Linked DNA regions of Mytilus edulis. The main gene of each other region encodes a partner of the protein of the gene in region 2 in a complex. Links are inferred from orthologs where the notes say so. Each region holds a gene or a part of one and is shown on either strand. Other genes may lie near its edges.

Evidence for each region. Proteins that work in one complex are often made in the same cells at the same time.
Region 1: vacuolar protein sorting-associated protein 8 homolog (region 2) and transforming growth factor-beta receptor-associated protein 1-like share a complex: the UniProt entries of both Homo sapiens proteins name them as parts of the putative class C core vacuole/endosome tethering (CORVET) complex. The link is inferred for Mytilus edulis from reciprocal best matches to the Homo sapiens genes VPS8 and TGFBRAP1.

What each region holds. Positions count from the first base shown.
Region 1 is NC_092350.1:13,596,083-13,602,931, forward strand, and holds the start of transforming growth factor-beta receptor-associated protein 1-like, read left to right. Parts: upstream 1-3,824; 5' UTR 3,825-3,957; coding exon 3,958-4,032; intron 4,033-6,849. UniProt on the Homo sapiens protein: Plays a role in the TGF-beta/activin signaling pathway. It associates with inactive heteromeric TGF-beta and activin receptor complexes, mainly through the type II receptor, and is released upon activation of signaling.
Region 2 is NC_092357.1:11,539,940-11,547,262, reverse strand, and holds the start of vacuolar protein sorting-associated protein 8 homolog, read left to right. Parts: upstream 1-4,315; 5' UTR 4,316-4,500; coding exon 4,501-4,560; intron 4,561-6,007; exon of another isoform or gene 6,008-6,033; coding exon of another isoform or gene 6,034-6,556; intron 6,557-7,323. Other genes in the region: uncharacterized protein, read left to right, coding at 6,034-6,556. UniProt on the Homo sapiens protein: Plays a role in vesicle-mediated protein trafficking of the endocytic membrane transport pathway.

The DNA.
Region 1 (6,849 bases), on a different chromosome or scaffold from region 2:
ATTGATAATTTCATAATTTTCCGAATTAAAATGTTTCAAACTTCCGAATTAAAATGTTTCAAACTTCCGAATTAAAATGTTTCAACTTCCAATTGTAAAGTTTCGAAGCCATTCCAAGTCAGTATTTCTTATAAATTAGCTTTAATGAGGATTTTTAGCTTAGCAATGAATATGACCTGGACCTCCTCGTTATTTTGATGTTCATTGAAAAATAGTAGAAATGTTTCTAAACTTCCTGTCGACAAACTGCGAAAAGTCCTGGCAATTACAGAATGCAGACTTGCTTCAAACATAAACCTGTTAACCCCATTTCATCTTGCTTGGGCATTACAATTACACCATGAGTTTGGCTCTAAATTTTTTATTGAAAATCCAAACTCTCATGGTTTTTGTGCATCCTATTGTGAAGTACATAGATATCGGACATGTTTAGCAAATTTGTTAAAAAACAGAATCCAATACATATTCTATGTACCTAATGGTATCAATCTATTTAGAAAAGGTGGTCGTAATATACAAGAGGGAGCAAAAAATATTGACTTAAATGCTGAAACAATCGATGGTAAAAATGAATTTCACTTCATGACTACAGTTGTATGTCAGTATCAAAACGAATCATTAAACGCCCACATGAGTTCCATAAAGGTCAAACGGGGACTAGAAAGATCTTTGACCTTGAATGATTCAAACACCAATCTGATGGCATGTTTAACTTTCGACAAGCCAACAGAACGGTATGGACCTTCTGTTTATTCTAATGTTTATGGGAAGATTGCGTCTTGTTTCATGGAAAACCGAAATATATCTGTCCTGTCTTTGGTATTATTTCCGAGACAAAACTTAGATTCGATTCCATTTTCTTCAGAAAGCACTGAACAAATTGTTTCATTTTGGACCGGTTCTTACAAAAGGCTTCATCTGAAATTTCGTCTGTAGCCTATGCTCCGGTTATAGATGCCAGGCCTAGCGACATGGCAATCATATTTACAACTATGAAACAATGTTTAGATATGTCAAAACGTGCTGGTCAACAATATGCTGTGCAAACATTTGACAATTGATTGTATGCTGTTGCTCAAATGTAACATAGTGTATACCAGACGTGTTCGAGGATTAACTTTGGTATATGAGGCAAACTCTCGTGGCTATTTTATTTAATTTAAAAGCATTCAAAGACGAAAATCGTGTAATTATCAACCTAATGTATTAAAGGCGTTCTTTGGCTGTCACAGTTCATTTGCTGAAACACCCAAAAGCGCTGAAGGTATTGAACAGTTTTTTTTTCGAATTTTAAAGAACATATGCTGCTATTGTTTGAAGAATTCAGAATACACTCTAGTAAACTATCTATCACCAACCTTCGAATTTTAGGATATAGTTCTTCGTGCAGTTGAAATATTGTTACAGAACCTTAGGGTTGAACGGAATGGGTTGGTGCTTTTACATTTGCAAATGGTTGCTGCAATGTTGCAATACTTTTTCATTACCATGACGAACTATGCTAGGTGGACACCGGCCTACATATTGGATATGTTGAATCTGTCTGAAACGGTAAAATCTGTCTTTATGTCAGGTGAGTTTTCAATCAGACATAAACATGGAGCGGATGTAACCCATGTCTTCTAAAGTCCGATGTCGTGGTCTCCTCTCAATACTTTTGATGATACGATTAAGACCTCAAAACTCAAGTGCAAATCAGGTGACTTTGTTAAGGCACATATCAAATCCTGTAAAATTAGTCCGTCGTGCTTTATAGTTCTTGCTATGTTCGTAGGATATTGGCATATACTTTTGGTCCAATACCTTCAGCTCTGTTCCATGATGATGGTATCATGCGGAAATGATGCTTTGAATCTTCCAATTTATGACAATAAATCAAAGGTACCAGCCTCATAATTTAATACACCAGACGCGCGTTTCGTCTACATTAGACTCATCAGTGACGCGCAGATCAAAATATGTAGAAAGCCACACAAGTATAAGTTTGTCACTTGAAGAGCATTGAGGACAAAAATTCAAAAAAGTTGTGCCAAATACGGCTAAAGTAGTCTATGCCTGGGATAAGAAAATCCTTAGTATTTCGAATAACTAATACTTTTGCAAACGGTTAATTATACAAGTGACCATATAATTGATATTAATGTCAACACCGAAGTGATGAATACTGGGCTAGTGATACTATCTTCAGATATGTTTTCAAACGGGAGATCAGGAATCGCCGTTAACATTTATCGCCTCATTGTATGATCCGAAGGGAAAGTTTAGGTTTCTTCATGATGATCTAAACAAGCTTTGGGTGGAGTTTGCCGCCACAAAGGATGCCAGTCTTGTGAAAATTCTCCCATGTAAAAACACGTGTTTACAGCACATCCCAAGTGTAATGGTTCAAACGCAAGTTTGAATGAATTCTCATATTGCTAAACCAGTGACTCATAACTTTCCAAAGACTCTGGTTGGTAAGAGGGTAAAAATGGTTTGCTCATGGTTTTCTTTGGAGGACCTTGTCAGTAGGTTTCCTTCAAGACCTTGTTTGTACGTATACGGACAAGGGAAAACATCTTGCATATAACAATTGTATATGCAACCAACAGAAATCCGCGTATACCAATATTTGTTCATGTGAATTTAGGGTCTGATGGTTGAAGAAATTATTTAACTCACCGAGCAATATTGGAAGAAGACGACGATGAAAACGATGACTGATGTCAGGTTTTCGAAAGTTGTCATGCGCCCTTTTTTGTTAAAATACCTCATACAATCACTCTTTCTAAGGGGTCCGTGTGTGCTTTTGTAAGGCAAAGGCACATAAAACCTAAAAAGTTCATAGAGATAGAATATTCGCTGAAACTTAAGTCCAATCATAAAACTCATTTGATTTAATTTATAAATTGCCTTGTGAAATATTTGTGACTGGCAATAAATATTAAATCAAAGCAAAAAAATAAATTGACTTCGGTTCTTTTTATAAAAGCCGTAAAATTCAGAAATATATCTTTAGAAGTACATGCGATGTAAAAATAAATGAATTGAGAGTCGGTTGTTCCATCTTCTATTTTCATATTGTTGCTAGTCTGAGTTTCCTTTAAAATGTGCATATGGTGGTTTCCGCATTATTTTCAAATCAAGTTGAAAATGTATTTCATTATGAATTTCTTGTTTAGAAACAATTTAAGTATTATTTGGAGGCGTTTAATAACCTCTTTCGAAATAAATTGACAATAGTGAAAAACTCAATCACTAACCTTTGACCTTATTAAAAAAAAAAGCACCCTATTTCAATTCTACAACCTCGCAAAAATTAAAGAATAAACATTTCTCTTTCCAAAAAGTCATAATTTAGCCTGCAGGTAGGGTGGTCCATTAAAGTTGAAAAATTGTTGGCTTGGTCACTCCACTAAGAGAAGAGTGGTTGAATCATAAACCGTTAAATAATTTAAATTCATGCTTAGTATGCAAATTTCTACTCGCTTTACCTTAAACAGTTTGAATACTTTAAATACGTGTGGTGGCGGTGTATATAAGTGTATAAAGAAGATGTTTTTAATCCAATAGTGAACATTCAATAATAAGGGATTCTACACTTCAAGAGGATTTTCCAACTGAAGTGGTTCATCTGGTAAAGGTGGAAAATACAGAATAGGTAACAGGTTGGTAAAAAAACCTGTGAAATATATGGATAGATTGAGAAATATAAATACTGAGATTACTGTATCTCAATGTTATTATAGGTCTTTTAGTCGAGCTTTTAATAGTCTCAGGGTAATGGAATATTTTTAAGGAAATAAAAACGCGCGAAAAATAGTTATGTACCCTTGATCTAAAGTGGGTGTTTTTTCCGGAAATTGTTGGTGGTGCTGCTATCCAATATGGCGCTGTCCATGAAAATTTTCCAGATTATCAGAATATACAATTTTACGATAACATTTGACATTTTAAGATAAAAACAAAACAAAAAAGATGAGTATAAAAGCTTTTGATTTGGTTCCTGCCATTGAGCGGATCAAATTGATGTCCGACAAAGCCAAAACACAGGTACAACTCCGATTTTCGCACTTTAGCCTACATTTTCATATTATTTTGCAGACGAAATTGTTCGAAATATTCTTTATTCTGAGCGTTTGTTTACAACCTCAGAATGCAGATATACATTTGACGGGTTCCAATAACAACAACCCTCTCAAAAAAAGGTCATGAATAATCATAATGTTGTTGGATGATAATTAATTTTATTAGCTCTTCGTTTTATTTACAATATAGATCAATATATATACTTGTCTTTAGTCCCCCAAACCTAAGTCAGGTATATTACAGTTGTGTTTAGTCTGGTGATTTTAATGTTGGCAGTGTCTGCACGGGTACGAATTAGTCAAATTGACGTTTGTAGGCAATGCATACCCATATCCGATTTTATAATAAAATGCCATTGGATCGGGAATAAAACATGAAATATATTGGAATTTGTCGCAATTAGTAAATAAATTGATTAAAACTACTCAGAAGTTTTATAAATATATAGGTAAGTGAAAAGTTTTTCTCAGATAATAAATATATTAAAAATGGAAGAGAGGGATATTCATGTCTGGAAGACATTTCAAAGTTATCATAAATTGAAACAATTTGTTCAAAACTATTAGTCAAGTTATTTTATACTATTGTATAAAAGAAACTCGAAGTTGTTTGAAGCTGCAGAGAAAAGAAGAACTGGAAACACAAAAATTAAAGAGGAATTAAAGTTTAACAGAATAAATTTTTCCTGTATTTACGGAGGCAAAACAATCCAAACAAATTCAACAGGAAAAAGGCCTGTTACATTTAAGTAAAACTAAAAGATTCTTTTAAGTAGCAAGGTTTATGCCTTTGATGCTATCATTTACCTGAAAATTCTATTTTAGTTGAAAAAATGCTATAATAATGGCTTTACATAATGAACTGATACTTTGTTAAAAGATTTTTCACAGCAGTGGGAGTATTTTTCCTGTGAAGTTCAAGGTTTCATCTTTCAGATTATGTAATAAAATTCTACTGTTCGCGATAAAAATTTCACTGTTCGGGGGTGTTGAAATTAGTGGGGGTTCTTAAAAAGAATGATACTTAAAGAAGTGATTTTTGGGAAGGAAATTGAGGTCTGATACTTAAACAAGTGATTTTTATGTCATTATCCTAGATTCAGTACAAGGTCATCACCTGAAATGACCTGGTCATCCTAGACAACACAGATGTTGGTTCTGATAAGTTAAGAAACATAATTAGTCCCTGGATCATTAGTATTCTATATTTAAAGCTACACTAATATTAAATCACTTCTTCTAGTGATTAATTTGTACTACTTAAATAGGTGATTATTAAAGAAAGACAACTCTAACTTCCAACCTTTATGGAAATAATGTTACTTGAATCAGTGATTTAGAAAATCACTTGTTTAAGTAAGTCCCCTGACTGTTGAAATAATTGTTAAAAAAACAAAATGAGTGACTCGACACATAAATGGCTTCATGGTGCCAAGAAATCTTTCTTTTGCATGATTAAAATTAAATAAATTATAATTTTTCCAGTATAATGACACATTTACTAAACTTGAATATGAATATATGTTTTAAAAAGTAAATATTTCAAGATATTTCTCTTATATTATATTCAAACAATTGTCAACAGATTATCTGTGACTTTTTGTCCTACCAAATTTGTGACTTTTATGTCTTGTGACTTTTTGTCCTGTGACTTTCCGTCCATTTACCGAAATAAGGTATCAGACGGATTTTAATGTTAAGCTAACGAAATAGGGTATCAGACCGAAATAAGGTATCTGACCGTCTTACTAAACAGAATCTGTACAGTCTGGTAGAGATCTGACCGCCTTACTAAACAGAATCTGTACAGTCTCGTAGAGATCTGACAGTCTTACTAAACAGAATCTGTACAGTCTGGTATCTGACCGTCTTACTAAACAGAATCTGTACAGTCTGGTATCTGACCGTCTTACTAAACAGAATCTGTACAGTCTGGTATCTGACCGTCTTACTAAACAAAATCTGTACAGTCTGAGATCTGACCGTCTTACTAAACAGAATCTGTACAGTCTGGTAGAGTCTGGAGGATATCTGACCGTCTTACTAAACAGAATTTGTACAGTCTGGTAGAGATCTGACCGCCTTACTAAACAGAATCTGTACAGTCTGGTAGAGTCTGGAGGATTTTCTAATATGAGGCAGGCATTACTTGTGAAAGGGGACGAAGTCTATAAATTAATTTTTTTAAATCAATATAAAAAAAGATATGGTATGATTGCTAATGGGACAACTCTCCACAAGAGACCAAAATGTCACGGAATACCGAATGTCCAATTTGTTATCTATAATAGTTCTTTATCATGTTTATAGTAAAATTTATTTTCCATACAAATATGTGTATTCAAAGTCTATGTCCAGTGTCACTAATTCCAGAGATCAGGGGAGGTCTGATGTTCAATGAATGTATATAAAAAACTCCAACATAACAGTTATCAATTGATTAATAGAGATTCTTATTACACATAAGTAACAAAATAGCATATTATAATTATAAATAAATCGGTGTTATCCCCAGATTTTCGATAGCACCAGGGACAAGGGTGAGCGAGATAACAAATTGGACAAAGTTTACATATAGTATCACAACACATTTACTCTATACTTCCTCCTTAAGGACAGTTGCTATATAATGTTCTTTTTTTTTTTACTTGAGATTGGTAATGTAGGATAATGCTTTAACAAATTATAAGCAAGAATGAATTATTGAATGTGAATGTAGAAAGTGCAAGGTCCATTCATGAAATAGTTCTATTCAGTTTCTTATATTATTATAAATAACTGT
Region 2 (7,323 bases):
TTGGTGATTAATTAATTGATTGATTGCTTGGTGATTAATTAGTTGATCGATTGCTTGGTGATTAATTGTTTGATTAATAGCTTGGTGATTAATTAATTGATTGCTTGCTTGGTGATTAATTAATTGATTAATAGCTTGGTGATTAATTAATTAATCCATTGCTTGGGGATTAATTAATTAATCGATTGCTTGGTGATTGATTAATTGATCGATTGCTTGGTGATTCATTAATTGATCAATTGCTTGGTGATTCATTAATTGATCGATTGCTTGGTGATTAATTAATTGATTGATAGCTTGGTTATTAATTAATTGATTGATAGCTTGTTGATTAATTACAACACTATTGAGTATGTTGTGATGGCAAGATTTATTAGTTGGAGGATGTCTGAACACAAAGAGAGAACCACCATTATCTTTGACAGAAAACAAGCAACTGTAGTCAATTCAAATAGGATAGAATTAAAATGCACAATTTAGTTGATAAAGAAGATGAACCACTTGACCAACATACACCCAATTTACAATCAAAGAATTCAATAAGTTGGTAAAGGTGTTAGTCTGACATGTCTGAAGGTAACTTGAAAGTTTAATTTGCCACACATCATGCAGATTGTTTTTTTTACATTTTAAATTGTTTAAGAAACTAGTTATGTAGCATTTATTTCATTTAGACTTAAAATAACATGCAATAAAATTTTTGGTACAGAAAAATATTTCACAAAACTTTTATAGTTAAGAAATAATTCATGGGGGCTTACATATTGTGATTTTACCACAAGTTGGCCCTTTATGACAAATATCTGCATAAAGGGACAACCTGTGATATATTCAAGCCCCATGAATTATTTCTATTCTAATACGACAAATACAGCAACTGCTTTGGATCAAAGCTCTCTAGGTGAAGGCATTATATGCCGTTCCTTTAAATAAACGCACTATTAATTTGATGTAAAAGAACAGAGAAAACTGAATAAGTGATATGATGTAACTATTCACAATAACATATTTAGATAGTTTAAGATGAATCTAAATCATGTGAATGATAATTGTCATGATTGTACTTATATGTCTTTTATGTATACAAAAAATGGCTTAAATAATACATTTTAGCATCGTTTATTTACATTTCCTTGTTGTGATGATTTTCGGGTTTAAAAGCGTGTAATTTCCCGTAAAATGCTTATATTCTGACGTCATCTTTCTATGATGTCGGTTAGCTCATTCATAAAAAGGCAAATGACGTGGGAGTAAGATCGGAACAGCCCAAACAATAATATATTCATATTTTACCACTTAGACGCTGGTGTGTACTCAAAGCGTTTGAAGGACGTCATGTTCAGAAGGTATTTGTTATGCAGTCTGCACCGTTAGCCACTAAACCGATGCCCCAGACTAGTAAATATAGTTTCGGACTAGTGAAAATTTTCAAAATGTTAAATAGTCATATAGGGAAAAGTTTTGATATTTAGTATCCAGACTAGTAGATGAAAAAGTTTTTGGCGCAGACTGGTTATGCCGAAATAACTACTTCAATTGCCAAGTTGACTATCACTGGTGCTGGGGTAACTAGAATTCATAAATATAGAAGGGTTGTAATGAAGTAGCCTCATAACGAATAACCTTAAAAATTCTTGCTATTTGACGTTAACAGTAATTTTTGGTGCATGAACATAATTTATTTTCTTTGGTTACATCTTCTGACATCAGACTCGGATTTCTCTTGAACTGAATTTTAATGTGCGTATTGTTATGCGTTTACTTTACTTCATTGGTTAGAGGTATAGGGGGGAGGGTTGAGATCTCACAAACATGTTTAACCCTGCCGCATTTTGTGCCTGTCCCAAGTCAGGAGCCTCTGGCCTTTGTTAGTCTTGTATTATTTTAATTTTAGTTTCTTGTGTACAATTTGGAAATTAGTATGGCGTTCATTATCACTGGACTAGTATATATTTGTTTAGGGGCCAGCTGAAGGATGCCTCCGGGTGCGGGAATTTCTTGCTACATTGAAGACCTGTTGGTGACCCTCTGCTGTTGTTTTTTATTTGGTCGGGTTGTTGTCTCTTTGACACATTCCCCATTTTCATTCTCAATTTTATAAACATGAAAAAATGTACACCGAATGCATGTCGTTTCGTAACCTGGTCGTTTCGTACTTGGTCAATTCGTAACTCGTTAATTTGTAACTGAGACGTTTCGTACCTGGTGTAATTATATATGGTTATAAAGTGTTAGTTAAAATTAATAAGTTTAAATGAAGCACTTAAAGTTATTATTTATAAATGACAATTAAAATGATCAAATTGTTAATCTAATAAAACAATATTGTAATCATGGTAATGGTTTTTTAATTTAAAACTATCTTAAATTAAAAAGAAAAAAAAGTCACTAATAGTAAATAAGCTTGTGATGCATGTCATTTCTTAACCTCACTGGGTCGATTCGAAATTTAAGCTTGTGATCGGTCACAGTTTCATCCGAAGATTGGAAAATTGGATGTTAAGAACGCAATCTGACTTATCAAGTTCTGTCGAAACAAAGCTTCACAAGGTATATATCGCATGTACAATGGTGTAGGCGGGAGAAAAGTAAAGTCATTGCGACATTTTGGTCTCCAAATAGTGAAGAAATTTAAACCAGACTTTTACTTGAAAAACTGTACTTGTAAAGTGTAAAATTATGTGCAATCAATTATTTAATAAATAAATATAGATATATATATATGCACCATGATGTGTACATCAATAGGTCTTTTTATCATTTTTTTAAGTAACCTACCACTCATACTATTATTTTATCTTGATATAAGGTTACAAAACATATCAGGTACGAAACAACCTAGTAAGTTACGAATCGACTAGTTACGAAAGGACCAGGTTACAAAAACGACATGTACCCATTTTCCCAAAACAACGGTAATGAAAATTTAATATTTGAGACCTCTGATAAATCACGATAAGGATATTTTGACGAATTGCAATGAAATCTTGACCCATTTGAGGCTAACGACTAACAGAAGCTTAATATAACCTCGGGGGGGCCACTTGCTATATAATTAGTGGTAGGGATGAGCCGCTGGAATAGGTCACTTTTTCATGCTCTATGATATATATGAAAAGGGTGGGAAATTCAGATGAAATATATCAATAGGTTGATATTATCACTTGCTTGATTATATCATAAGTATCTGAAACTAATCAGATGTCCGTATTTATTCTTGATGCGGTTAAACCACAGTCGTAAATGCATCAGTTATTTGTCAAACCAATTAAACTCTATTTATTCTGATGTGGTATTTCCACTGATGCCCGTGATAGATGCAATAAATCCAACTATTTTGACATTTGCACCTAATTATCATTCAAGGGTTTGTATACATAAAACAAAATAACAATTATTTAAAGAAATTCCATTGTGACAGCGTCCTTTACGAGGGAACGGCAATGAAACTTTTTATCAGTTTTTAATTAATATTTAAACATGTAAAAATCAGTGAAGGTGTTACACTCTGGGGTGATATTACATTTATCTGACCATAGATGTAATACCAGGCAGATCTATGATCTGACCAAACGTCTTTTACATGTATTGTATTTTGGAATTGAGATATCTTCATAATGAAAGATGTAAAATGGCCGGGCAATAAGAAAAAAGTGTTTAAGATATGACGAATTTATTGGAAAAGAAGGTGATTTTATTGCAACTATTTTGCTTCCTAAGAAGAACGTGATGATGAGCGGTGAAAATATTGAAATATATCTATAGGTCTGTTTTTGGTAAATTAATATATGACAAGGTATATATTTTTTATTAACAAAATATATGAAAAGGGTGGGGTACTTGATGTCTCAGCTGCTCACCCCTACCAAAAAAAGTTTGAAGTGGCCCCCCCGAGAATATAACCATTGACGACTGACGGTACCCTTGTATCTATATATAGGTGCTGTGACAGTGTGAGTCACTGAGTGTTTTCAAAATTAGTTCTTCCTAATCGGCCAATGAACATATCCCAATCACTTATTCTTCAGGCAGAAACAAAACAAAAGGGACCAGTCCAAAACAGATAAATTTTGATTTTTAAACATTAAATCATTACCTTGATTCTAAATAATGTATCTGTATGCAACTTATGGTAAAAAAAAACACGGACAATATATATTGACATATTTGTAAGGACCTAATTATAAGTATGTTCCCATGAAAAACATATCGGAAGAGATATTCGAGGAAGGGGAGAGAAACAAAATGCAACATTTTTTCCAAATCAAATATTCGTTTAATACTATTGCCACGATCTCTTGTAGATCGTGTGCCGTGTGGCCGTGTATTTGTAAAATGTAAGATCAGATGATAATTACCTAAACACGTTGGTGTTTTAGCTGTCTGTTTCAAAATTTAAAATACTGTGATAATTCATTATGTGCGGAAGTGTGTCCGGGGAAGTTTCAATTTTTCCATCTTTCTACTACTTCCGGCTTTCAGATTCTCCTCCCAAAAGTTATGGACTCGGGTAGCTCAGAAAAATCTAGTCCTTCAGCACCAATAAATTTTGATATTGAGGTAATATATGGCACATGCTATGTGTGATATAGTCACGTATTATAGTGTGAAGTCTTCACAAGTAGGTCTTAATATTTAAGTAGATATAGGAAGATGTGGCATGAGCAACTTTTTTAATCATCTATAATATTAAAAATGCATATTTTATCGTCATGCACCAAAAATGACTGTAAACATCATTTGGCAAGAATTTTCACCGTTATTCGTTATGAAAGTATATTGTACACCCAATACCATCATTACTACTCTCTTATAGATATTTCCATTTGTACTTGCTACACTGCATGGTATTGACGAGTCATAGAAAAACTCCCAAATGCCATTACAACAATCAATTGAACTTTCATCAGTTCAATAGTGGATCCATACTATAAATCAAAGTGACAGGCATGACAGACTCAGTAGTTTATTTCTGAGGATGAAAATATTGTAAATATTAAAAAGAGGATGTGGTATGATTGCCAATGAGACAACTCTCCACAAGAGACTAAATAACTAAGAAATTAATAACAATAGGTCACTGTACGGCCTGTCCAAATGTAAAACAATTCAAAAGAGAAAACTAAGGGCCTAATTTATGAACGAAAAAAATAGTATGTAACACATTAACAGTCAGGGGACTTACTTAAATGAGTGATTTTCTAAATCACTGATTCAAGTAACATTAATTCCATCAATGTTGGAAGTAAGGTTGTCTTTCTTTAATAATCACCTATTTAAGTAGTACAAATTAATCACTTGAAGAAGTGATTTAATTCTATCGTAGCTTTAAATATAGAATACTAACATGACTAATGATCCAGGGACTAATTATGTTTCTAAAATTATCAGAAACAACATCTGTGTTGATAGGATGACCAAGTCATTTCAGGTGATGACCTTGTACTGAATCTAGGATAATGACATAAAAATCACTTGTTTAAGTATCATACCTCAATTTCCTTCCCAAAAGTCACTTCTTTAAGTTTTATTATTTTAATAACCCCCACTAATTTCAACACCCCCGAGCAGTGAATTTTTTATCGCGAACAGAAGAATTTTATTACATAATCTGAAAGATGAAACCTTGAACTTTACAGGAAAAATACTCCCACTGCTGGGAAAAATCTGTGAAGAAAGTATCAGTTCATTTAGTAAAGCCATTATTACTGCATTTTTTTCAACTAAAATAGAATTTACAGCAAACAGATAGCATTTTAAAAAGGCATAAACCTTGCTACTTAACGAGGCCCGATCTAGAACGCGTTTTTGAATATTGCGCAACTCGGGCATTTTTCGGTAGTTGGTTTAACGGTTATAACATAACACATAAAATAAATATAAACAATACCTTTTCTGATTATTTTAGGAACTAAAATGATAAAATAAATCAATTTTTGATCGTAGTTTATATTTTATTTAAATTTATACTGTTATTATTGTTTACGACATAGTTTCGCGCCATTTACGGCAATGTAAACTATATCAGACGACATGCCTAGCAGAAAGAAGAACGGTCGGTTTTTGAAAAACTGTCAGGCAGAGACTTACAACAACAGATTAGACAACATATCTAGACCCGATTTATCCACAACTGATTTTGATACACCATCTACACTCGATTTTGATACTACTTTTACACCCGATTTTGATACTACTTTTACGCCCGATTTTGATACATCTTTTACACCAGGTTCTTTCCAACATGATCACACGTATCAATCCTCTGCATCGTTTGATGAGATCAATGAGTTCTATTTTTCTGGAAAATTAAAGCCAATAGGTTATACCAGACATGTGATTGACATTCAAACCTTTTTTGATAATATGAGATGTTCCAGATGTGACATTACATTGAAGTTAAAAGATGGAATTGGAATTTTGCCTGCTGGTTTATGTGGTCACCTGATTGTTCGTTGTTATAACTGTAATGACTTTGTACGTGTTGCCATGGGCAAAACCCACAATGCATCCCATGGGCCAAGGATATTTGATGTCAACACCAAACTTGCAACTGGTAAGTGCAAAAATAAAATCTGCACACCCTGTATATTTATACTTTATATTCACATGTAGCATGTTTACCTAGTACCAATTCCTGGACTGCAAATAATTATGATGTCTTGCGAGTGCTGCCTTGTAGTAGCATTAGCCTACTCTTTTTCGAAATCTACAAGGGTGTCTTTAACGTGCAAGAGGAATCCATGACAAGTCGCCCCACTCCTAATCGCCCCACTTTTTCACCAACTCGCCCCACTTTAAAAAAAAAACGCCCCAACCTGGATTACCAAATCGCCCCACTTTTTAAAAAATCGCCCCACTTGTGAAATGTGTTAAATCCCGTTAATATTACTCCTGAAAACTTGCCCCACTGAATGGAAAACGATAAAATCTAGATTAATATATTATTAATATATTATTAACCAGGATGAATTTAGTAAAGCCAACTCGCCCCACTTATGGAAAAAGATGTTATCCTGTTGTATATGAGTTAAATTCCGTGAATATTACTCCTGCGAACTCGCCCCTCTTATGGAAAACGATAATATCTAGATTAATATATTATTAACCAGGATGAATGTAGTAATGCCAACTCGCCCCACTTATGGAAAAAGATGTTATTCCGTGAATATTACTCCTGCCAACTCGCCCCACTTAAAAGAAAATGATAATAATCTAGATTTATATTATATTATTAACCAGGATGAATGTAGTAATGCCAACTCGCCCCACTTATGGAAAAAGATGTTATCCCGTTGTATATAAGTTAAATTCCGTGAATAT